Bombyx mori: one gene and its partner. The protein of the gene in region 2 purifies or fractionates together with the protein of the main gene of each other region. This does not show direct contact. Links are inferred from orthologs where the notes say so. Each region holds a gene or a part of one and is shown on either strand. Other genes may lie near its edges.

Region 1 (5,373 bases), on a different chromosome or scaffold from region 2:
GGGTTACCCATATCTTTTTATCATTAGCTAGACAGACTATTCCTTATAATGTGAAATTGAAATAAATTTGCCTTTTAACATTGGCATACGTTATAACGTTGATAAGGTTCATTATGCATTAAATCCATATCGTCATGTTCAAGACAAAGGCACTGTCAGTCGTGATGTATTGTAGACGCACGACGCCTGTTAAGTAGACAGTTCACGTGCAGACGCCAACACTAAATGTACCCAAGTATGTATAATGTTACTCAACTATAAAGTTAACGCGATCAGGAATCCCAGCTAAATCAAATCGTAAACTGTATTAATTTTAAGTAGACATCGGCTTGTTCGTCCTTCAGTGACGATGACCACTACAGTAATTAAGTAGTAAGCTTTTAAAGATTTTCAAAGCCTTTATAATAAAGTATAAAAATATACGTATAGCATCTCTCATGTGTGCCATTTGGATTGTATAACGTATTTTTTTTTATTGCTTAGGTGGATGGACGAGCTCACAGCCCACCTGGTGTCGAGTGGTTACAGAAGCCCATAGACATCTACAACGTAAATGCGCCACCCACCTCGAGATATAAGTTCTAAGATGTCAGTATAGTTACGTTTGCTTCAAATATACCATTTACTGCAAATGTTCACGTTAAATTTTATTTATGTTCTGGAATTAACATTGAAAATTTTCGTGTTTTCACAAATAAAAATATAGAATTTATTATAGATAAGAATTTATTTTTAAGTACAATAATAAATTTAATTTGTGCTACATAAAATTTGATCAATTCAACACGTTATCCTGTTCAAATGTTGTAGAAATCACTTGGGACGACCTCTATTTATCAAATATTCAAATGGCAAAAACAGCGTATCTTGATTATTATTAACTACAACTTTAAAAGAGCTGTACAACTAATAAATAACATAAAACGTTCAAGATGTTTAAAATGTCGAGAGAAATATTGGGAGAGCCAATATTATTAGATAATCACCTTAGATTGAGGTCAGCGTCTGCCTTTTGGAAGGTCTCGAGTGCTCTTTCCGACTCCCTCGCCGCACGTTCGTACGCTCGCCTGGCTCGTTCCAGTGAACCTATCGAAGTGTTCAGAACTCCCATTTGTTTTGCTCCTTCGTTTAAATGTTGCTGGAAAAAACGAAACTTATTTTATTATTTAAAAAATATTTAATAACAGATTTCTTTAGATTTTCATGAATTTACTAGCTGTACCCGTCCGCTTCGCTGAGCATTTAAAATTAACATGATTATTTCTCTCCCCCACAAAGATTCTCATCATTAACGCCCCCGCATCTGGTGTAGGGAATCCAACACTCATATAAATATTAGCCTATCCATTACGTACATGTATTTTCTACATGGATACCGAGTTTCAAGTCAATTGGATGCATGGTTCAGTAGTTATAACGGAACATCCGTAAAAACCACTGTAGATTTTTTATATGTTAGTATGAATTAAAATGAGTTTAAATATTTTTCTTTAATTTGAAATTTATGTCATGTTTATCTATTGAAGAATTTCACCAATTAAAAAAATAAATGAAAATAAGTAATTCAATATATTTATCATTCAGTTAACATGATATTGGTGTCGATTTTTGAAAGTAATCAATTTTACCTTCCGTGACCCCGAAAGCTGTAAGTATTCGAAATGTCCAACTAAAAAATGAAACAAGATAAGCACGACATCAACCGTAAATCTGACATTTATTATTCACCCAGACATCTTATTAGACCTGTGACCGAAGAATTATAGCTGTTCATATTTTGGCAATACTTTCTTTTTTTAATCAATTTCTTTTACTGACATTGATTGGCTTCACATCTTATCATCATCATCATCATCATCATCAGCCTTTATCTGCCCACTGCTGGACATAGGCCTTCCCCAATGCCTTCCACATAATGCGGTCCTCCGCCTTCCGCATCCAACGACTTCCCGCCGTGCGCACTAAGTCGTCAGTCCACCTGGTTGGAGGACGCCCCACGCTCCTTATACCCATCCGTGGCCTCCATTCGAGGACTTTCCTCCCCCACCTGGCGTCGCTGGCTCGACAGATGTGACCGGCCCATTGCCACTTCAGCCTGCTAACTTTGAGAGCTATGTCGTCGACTTTGGTTCTCCGTCGAATTTCTTCGTTCCGGATTTTGTCCCTTAGAGAAATACCTAGCATAGCTCTCTCCATCGCCCGCTGTGCGACTCTTAACTTATGGGCCAGCCCTGCCGTCAGTGTCCAGGTTTCCGCGCCGTAGGTCATAGCGGGGAGAATGCACTGGTTAAAGACTTTTGTCTTCAGGCATTGAGGAATTTGCGAGGTGAGTATTGCACGGAATTTCCCAAATGCCGACCAACCCAGTCGTATGCGTCTTATAACCTTATCATCATATCACATCTTATAACCTCACAATATTTTTTTGTTCAGCGACGCATTACCATACTTTACCATTATACATTACCATACCATACCAATTTTTCTAATGAAATACGTACTCAACAAATGTTCACGATTGACTTCCGCGGTGAAGGAATAACATCGTGTAATAAAAATGAAACCCGCAAAATTATAATTTGCGTAATTACTGGTGGTAGGACCTCTTGTGAGTCCGAACGGGTAGGTACCACCGCCCCGCCTATTTCTGCCGTGAAGCAGTAATGCGTTTCGGTTTGAAGGGTGGGGCAGCCGTTGTGACTATACTGAGACCTTAGAACTATATCTCAAGGTGTGTGGCGCATTTACGTTGTAGATGTCTATGGGCTCCAGTAACCACTTAACATCAGGTGGGCTGTGAGCTCGTCCACACAGCTAAGCAAAAAAAAAAAAAAAACCCTTACATACAAGAAATGCGAATTCGGTGGTGTCACTTTAGATAAAAATATCGTATTTGTTAATCTCGTGATATCCTTGATAGGGGTTTGCAACACACCAATGTGTCGCGGTGGTTGAAAGACCCTCGTATAGCCTACTTATGTTAACGCGAGGAGCACAGCCAAACTGCTTGCCAGATAATTAACAAAACAGTTTTGATGATACATTATATAATCGAGCAATAAAAAGGAATACACAGAAGAAATTCTCGAACGCGGTGCAAATAACGGCATATCTTAAGAAACTTGTTTGCATTCCGTTTACAAGATTTATAGATTTAAAAATAAATGTATGTGGGTCTCATAATGAAATGTGACGCTGATAGACATTTCTTTGATTATTCGGAGCGAGGAAATAATAAATCAAAATTAGTAATTATAATTCGAAACGCAAAATATTTTAGTTTTAGCTTAGTGCAATTGTGTAGTTTATCTGAAATTACAATGTAGTTGGGTTCAAGCATGACACGTACGGAATAGGCGAGTTCATGTCTACTCTTGACTGTTTACAGAGAAACATCATAACGTTTTGTATTAATCTATATTTCCAAGAAACTATCGCACCGACCACAAAGCAATGTGAGTTCAATGAATCGTGGTCGTATTTTATTAACCAACTTACTGTCGTTTACAATGTTCAACTTATGTGTTTATTTTAAATTTGCTAGTTAGAGTAATGGTTGCGGACAAAAATCATTCAATATTTTCACTGTCTCGTGTATATAATTAGAAAATCGTAAAGTTTATTCGCTAATATTGAAGGTTTGTTTGTTTCTATTAAACTACTAGCTGTACCCGTCCGCTTCGCTTGGCATTTAAAATTGACATTATGATTTGTCACCCCTACAAAGATTCTCATCATTAACACCCCCGCAACTGGTGTAGGGAGTCCAACACTCATATAAATATTAGCCTATCCATTAAGTACATGTATTTTCTACATGGATACCAAGTTTCAAGTCAATCGGATGCATGGTTCGGTAGTTATAACGGAACATCCGTAAAAACCACTGTAGATTTATATTTTAGTATAGATAGATATAGAAGTATAGATATAGATCATACAGCACTGAAACTATACTAAGCATAACGGAGTGCAATCAATTGCTTCTAAACGTTAAACATGTTTAAAACTAGTGAATGAAAATTATAAACAAACCTTTCTTTCCTCTCGCAATTCTTTGGCGAGCAGGTGCAACTCTCGGACTACATTTGATTGAAGATTTTCCGCGACAACTTCCCGTTGTCCTGCGAAATCGCCTAACTCTTGCAGTAACTGTTTAAATGCTTTACATGCTGTATACCTAAAAACGTAACACGAATAAAAGCTTTTGATTTTATTACTCGAATACATTTCCGTTTCTCAGGACGTAAACATATTATTTGTTCATCAGCAGAATTCTTTTCTAATCAAATTTATTAAAATGCGAATTACCCATTTTAACAAAAAATGAGTTAAGTCTGCAGCAACTGAAAGTTTTTTGGTTATTTTTATACATCTTGTTAACCATGGCAAACGTCAGATGTAAAAATCCAGATGAAAAGAATGAAATGTATTCCTATTAGTCATATTCTAAACGAAGATCGTGGGCGCTTCGTGATCGGGATATTTCTGCTACTTCCTATCATCCGGTTCTGGCAGCAATCTTTCTAATCTTAGAAAGGAAAGTTTTTTACCTATTCTTCTTCTCTTTATACGGTACGTACGGTAACATCATTACTACCGTGAAGCAGTGGTGTGTTTCACAACCATTGTATCAATTCGATTGAGATTTTAACTAATCACTCAAAGTAGGCAGAAGCATATACATACATTGGGGAGTCTTTGGGATGTCGCCGCTTAACAGCTAGGCGATACAGTTAATAGAAAAACCGTCCTAAGCTGATGGTCTAGAGAGAGACCATATCAGCGTCACCGGGCTAGTAGGTGAGCTCACAGGACTTAAACCTGATGATGTTGCTAGCACGAACCCTAGCAAGAGCCGTGCTTCGCAGAATCTACCACCGGATCGAAAACGCGACCCACTAAGAAGATCCGACGTGAAACTCAGTGGGCTGTGTCTGTGGGTTAATTTACTCGCCGAACCCTTCGTCGCAAGCGACGGGTTCGACGAGAACGGTGATCGGGGCATGAAGACAACGGCATCAGCTACATTAATTAGATACTAGAATCACTTTTTTTTAAGCTTCTAACACATAATCCCAATAATCACATTATTTTATTCTTTAAACGGTTACTCACTGGTATTCATCTTCTTCTTTCCTTTTTGGTTGATAATTTTTGACAAGCCTCCTGCAATGTCAAAATCAATTATAATAGATAGTACATGCAATCATTTAATCGAAAACTAACTTGTATATGTATATTATTTGCATAGTAAAAGTGACAGTTTTTTTTTTGTTCTTATAATCAAACTGGAGCAACCAGTTCTTTGCTCCTTGTTAAACTTTCTCGTGACTCCATTATCGTTTTAAGTTTATATAACATGCATTACTT
Region 2 (5,802 bases):
CTGCAAGATCTTATTAAATTAATTGACATTTAAGAAGTAAGTGAGACAAGATAAGACATAAGATATATAACGAAGGGAACTTTGAATATCTCAAATTTGGCAGAGAAGCTTTTTCTAGTGGATAATAGTGCAGCCTTGCCCTTGATACCTCTGATGTCCATGAGCAACTGTGACATGACTATTGAGATTGATCATGAATTATTCCATACATATTGCCAGGGCTATCGAAAAGAATGTGTCCTTCATCTGGAAACAAAACATTATTCCCAAGGGATAGGTATTTATTTATAACTGAAGTCACATGTAGAAGCTTCTTATAAATAACACACTGCATAAGCCAATGTTTATAATTTATTTCTGTAGTATAGTTTTGTTTAAATATTTTTAGGTATATGATTTATAGTTTTTATTAGATAAGAAAAAAAAAACCATATAGATACATACATATTTTTATATTTATAAATTCATTCACTTTTTTAAAAATAACATACTTATCTCCTAGCCACTCGTGAAAATTTATTTCGCCTTCTGTTGTGTTGGCAGAGAAGTCTGGAAAAGTTTTTCCAAGTAAAAGCATGTTAAAAAATTTATTTTAAAAATATTTTTCTTAGTGTGTTTTGTGTTTTTTTTTTAAGGCAAATCACTCAATATTATAAATCAAATTATACGTCAGTTAAACGCTCAATTCAAATACAATACACTAAATATACATCTATGCTTGTTTTTTAAATGGAGTACAAGTATTCTTCTTTTATTTTTATTGCCTGCCAGATTTTCAAAAGAGGTGACAAAAATGATTCTTGACATTAAGAAAGTACGTCAAATTTTTTTTAGTCGATTTTATAGTGCGCAATTTATTCTATGAACGATGTAACAGCATTTTATTGCATAATACTAATTGCCAACTACTATTTCACAACGAAAATTGGTATATGATTAAATGAGTATGTGACATAGATTGTACGATTTACCTAATTGTTACAAATATTCAATGTTATTTTTTGTTATGGATTTATTTGCTCCAACAATCATTATCAAACTTCACAGTGAATATCAATAAATTAGTTTCGTTTTTGCACATCCGATTTTTATGTTGGTCTGTAGGCTACTTTTTTCGTACCAATACTTATAGCCTTGAGAAGCTATATTAGCGTTACCCTTGCGTGTAGGTGAGCTCTTGGGGCTCTAATAAGGAAGTTGCTAGCACTGTCCCTAGCAAGAGCAGTGCTTCGCAGAGTCTACCACCGAATTGGAAACACGACCCATTGAGAAGATCCAGCGACGAGCTTAGTGGTCTGTGTCTGTGGGTTAATTTACTCGCCGAGCACGGCGTTGCAAGCGATGGGTTCAGTGGGAACGGTGACTGGTGCTTAAGGTACCTAAAAGAACCGTTTGTATCGGGAGGATCCGTAATTACGTGTTTAGGGCAAGGAGGCTTCGTTAATCACTTAACTACTACTACTACTGAGCTGGCGCTATGACCCCGAAGTGGGTCTCGGCCTCCGACAATAAACTTTGCCATTCATCCCGGCGCTGCGCAACATCTTGCCAGTCCGACACTTGGAGCTCCCGTAAATTTCCTTCCACAGCGTCATCATCACTTAACCCGTCTATTTAATTTAAAGTATAGATAAATATTTGATATTACTTAAATTACGCAATGATTACATCAAATTACTAAAGCATTTATTTCAGTAAGTATTTAAAGGATAGCTACTTTCTGATAACTACAGGTGAGAATTTTCGTTGTCCTATACTTTGTAGAGCTCAAATGATTGACCCTCCAAAACTTTACTTATATCAGTGTTAATTAAGTACACTCTGATTCTTATTGAATCATATCAACGGCCTCGGATCATGGAACACGTACCTACTTAAATAATTATGTACGCCTTCCATTTATGTGTAGTATATGATTATAATAGTTTTAAAGAAGCATATGTTTTAGATTTAAAACAAATATTGAAATTAACTCAGCAATTCGTTTAAAATAAATATTTTATTTCCATTTTGTTAATATTTTTTTACTAAAGGTACGATAAAATCGATTCTCTGACTGTTGACATTCGGACCATAGACAAATTTCTAGGCATTTACTGCTCTATTCAATCAATGGCGTCACACCGTCAATGACCCAACCCGCTACTTGGAGACTGTAACATTCAACATTTCCTATTTACAACGTGGTGTTATTGTATTCATTTGAAATATTTATTATCTTCGTAATTAGGTAAGTGTGTAATGAAATGAAATTGATTACAAATAAGGTAAAAACACCATATTAGTGGTTGTTGTCGAGCACAACACAAAATGGACGTCAAAATTATTGTGACGTGATTATGTAAAAAAAAGCAAAAATACTTCAAATATTTCTAGAAAGTTATCGTTTTTTTTAACACTATACCTATCGCTTTAATTTCATTCTCCGTAGCCATTGAATACTTATACTCAAATAGTACCACGGGACTGAAAGGTAACAGGAACTCGGAGGCACTTGTCTTGCGGACGACAAACACACCCTGTTGGCTGTTATCGGTCGCTCGGCTACAATACTATCTCAGGAAATAGTTCTTTGTTTTGTGCTCGAAATGTTCTTTAAAAGCAGTTTTCTTTTAATTCGACCCTTTTAAAGGTCAATGCCCTTTGAATGTGTTCCTATTTTGTAGTGTGCTTGGCATTTCATTTGCTATGCGACGTATGAGACCCTGATTATCGCCGAGTCGGAATGCAGTTTGTGTAATGCACTTAAAGCTAATTAGTATGGGTGTCGATCGCTTTTGTTTTTAACTATTAACATTTTTAAATATATTTTTTTCCTCCTAAATAACTGTATTTTTGTTGGGCTTCTAATAACAATTCGTGAATTAGTTGAAGATTTGGAAAAAGTCAGTAATAACATTCAGGTCAAGGACTGCTAGATTTAAAATAAAAAATGGTAAATTATTTAAATCAATTGTTGATTTCAACTTAACAGTTGTAGAATTGACTGTATTCTACCCAAGGAGCTTATTTCAGTTGTCAATTAAAAAGATTTCTTAATGCAATAATGAATTAAGAGTGACTGGATATTAGAATGCAGCTTAGGAGGATAATGGTATCTTTACAATGATTAAAAATAGTTTTAACTTCTCATAATATTAAACTATGAACCAGTGTATCCCAATACATGGAATAAACAACATTACTCATCTTCATTTTCTCATGATTTATTCTCCTCAATTTTTTTATATTAAAACCTTTATAAGGTATATTTAAAGTTATATTTAAAGGCTTAACATATTACCAGGTTACTGTTTAGCTATACATATATTCAGTCGTACTATTATATTCAATAAAGTAAAAGTAAGACAAATATTTTATTTTACTGTTATCACCAAAACAACAGTAATACTTGCCTAAGCGAAATTTCTCAATGTGGATCATAAAATAACTTAACACAGTGAAATCATTAGTTGAATCAAAATGTTCATAATACCATTAATAGTAATCACAATGTATAGATATTTTTACCCATTTTGAAAGATAATATTTGAAACTGCTACATTTTAAATCAGATAATGTTAATGTCTAGGTAGTTGTAGGATGAATGGTGATAACAGGGAGTATGAGCTCCAAGCTGTATCATTGGCATAATCATAAACCATGTGTATATTAATTTTTATTAATACAAAATATGTAGAAGTTGACTTGACATTTAGTTCAACTTTGAATAACAGTATACGACCTTCATATCGCTGGATCTATTAATTTAATTTTGAATAATCTATTTTATCATTCTTAGTTAATAATGTGTGGGTGTGGGTATTTATTAGAAACATTGCATCACATGCTTAATAGTAATATTTTATTTTAATTCTGTTAAAAAGAAAATTATAAACTAAGCAAGTTTGTCTGTAACATGATTTTGTTTACAATACAATTTCTACAGTGGAATTTATGCTCGCAATCATAAAAAGAGTATGTAGGTATGTAGTAATAATATATGTATAAGGCTTGCAACTAAGTTCTCGCTGTTTCTCAATAGATGGCTGCAGCAGTAAGTGCTGGTCGATTTTGATAGATCAAATATATTGTGAACCAAGCTTAGACAGATGGTAAATAAAAGAAACATTAAATTTATTGAAAATTATGTTGTTACATATACTTTTGGTTGTGTGAAACTGTCTGATTTTATAACAAATAAGTATCATATGCGGGAAGTGTTTCTTTTCTTCTTTCATTTGAAAAATACGCTGGATGAAGCTCTTCGAGAACTACAAAAAGTTTATGGCAATGCTGCTTTAAGCGAAACTATATGCTGTGATTGGTTCAGTCAGTTCATAGACAGTGGTTTCGATATTGATGACTGTCAAAGTAAAGGAAAGCTAAATTCAACGAAGTCGCTGTCTTCAAATTTGTATCTGATTGAATCAGTGGCTGATGCAAAATCCGCTAGCCTCAGCATAAGCAGTTGCTCACAAAGTCATTTACAAGTTATCACATCTATTGAAAGTATTTCAAAAGCAAGGAGCCTGGATTCCTTATTAGTTAAAGTCAAAATGTTACAAAAAGAAGAGTTATATTCATAGCATTAGCCTGCACAGTTCGGCTGTATACTCAGACTGTGACGATTGTGCTGTGTACTTGGTGGGACCAGGTCAGGAGTATTTATTTTGAGCAGTTGAAACCAAATTGAAACGACCCATAGGGAATGACACCAAACTCAATTAATGTGATATAGCGCTGCACAAAATATGGACATAATATGACATGATATAGTGATTCCCCTGTATGACATCATTAGGCCTCACCTTGCCAAATCCATTTAAACTTACTTTGAAACACTCAAATGGGGTGTCTTACTCTGCCACTGTATACCCCAGATATTCCACCATCCGATTTATATTTATAATTTATTAATTTATTATTCTACTATTACATTAATTTATGCCTATTTTGAAACACCCCCAATTGTTTTGTTCCAGAAACTTTCTATCAGAGTTTGCTATGAACCAAATAGTCCCTATAATAAAAGAAAATTTGGTGTACAAATTGTGAAGAAACAACTAATTGTTTAAAGATGCAGACAATAAAATGTGTTGTTGTGGGTGATGGTGCTGTTGGTAAAACATGTCTTCTGATCAGCTATACAACTAACAAATTTCCATCAGAGTATGTTCCAACTGTATTTGATAACTACGCAGTCACTGTCATGATTGGAGGTGAACCTTACACTCTAGGTCTTTTTGATACTGCAGGTAAAATTTACTATTTATTGGAAATTTGTTTTGGTATGAAAAATTAACATGCATTATAAATTATACATCTTCATTTCAGGTCAGGAAGATTATGACAGGCTAAGACCACTGAGTTATCCTCAAACAGATGTTTTCCTTGTATGCTTCAGTGTTGTGAGCCCTAGTTCATTTGAAAATGTAAAGGAAAAGGTATATTAAAAAGTATTGTAATTTATTATATAATTCATTATATACATGATATAGACTTAAATCAAAGATAGTGATGTAAAAATTAGTAAATAAGATTTAGCTAGTATGGAAACTAATCTGAGTATTTGACTTTCCAGTGGGTCCCTGAAATAACTCATCATCAACAGAAGACACCGTTTTTGTTGGTTGGGACGCAAATAGACTTGCGCGATGATTCGGCTACAATGGAGAAACTTGCTAAAATAAAACAGAAGCCGGTTTCATTGGAACAAGGAGAGAAATTGGCAAAAGAGCTTAAGGCTGTCAAATATGTAGAATGCTCAGCGCTTACCCAGGTATGAAAATATATCCCAAAAAAATATTATTTCTGATGGTA

What was found. Proteins that work in one complex are often made in the same cells at the same time.
Region 1: the proteins of cdc42 homolog (region 2) and formin-binding protein 1-like purify together in Drosophila melanogaster (affinity purification with western blotting; 4 studies listed by BioGRID). This does not show direct contact. The link is inferred for Bombyx mori from reciprocal best matches to the Drosophila melanogaster genes Cdc42 and Cip4.

Annotation. Positions count from the first base shown.
Region 1 is NC_085121.1:6,512,480-6,517,852, reverse strand, and holds part of formin-binding protein 1-like, read right to left. Parts: intron 5,170-5,373; coding exon 5,119-5,169; intron 4,181-5,118; coding exon 4,036-4,180; intron 1,139-4,035; coding exon 987-1,138; intron 1-986.
Region 2 is NC_085107.1:13,963,533-13,969,334, reverse strand, and holds the start of cdc42 homolog, read left to right. Parts: upstream 1-2,081; 5' UTR 2,082-2,230; intron 2,231-2,435; exon of another isoform or gene 2,436-2,632; intron 2,633-4,024; exon of another isoform or gene 4,025-4,094; intron 4,095-4,190; coding exon of another isoform or gene 4,191-4,568; intron 4,569-4,964; 5' UTR 4,965-5,059; coding exon 5,060-5,237; intron 5,238-5,316; coding exon 5,317-5,426; intron 5,427-5,563; coding exon 5,564-5,761; intron 5,762-5,802. Other genes in the region: uncharacterized protein LOC134199721, read left to right, coding at 4,191-4,568. UniProt on the Drosophila melanogaster protein: Regulates mbt kinase activity and is also required to recruit mbt to adherens junctions. Together with mbt and Frl, regulates photoreceptor cell morphogenesis. Together with Frl, has a role in the neuronal development of mushroom bodies.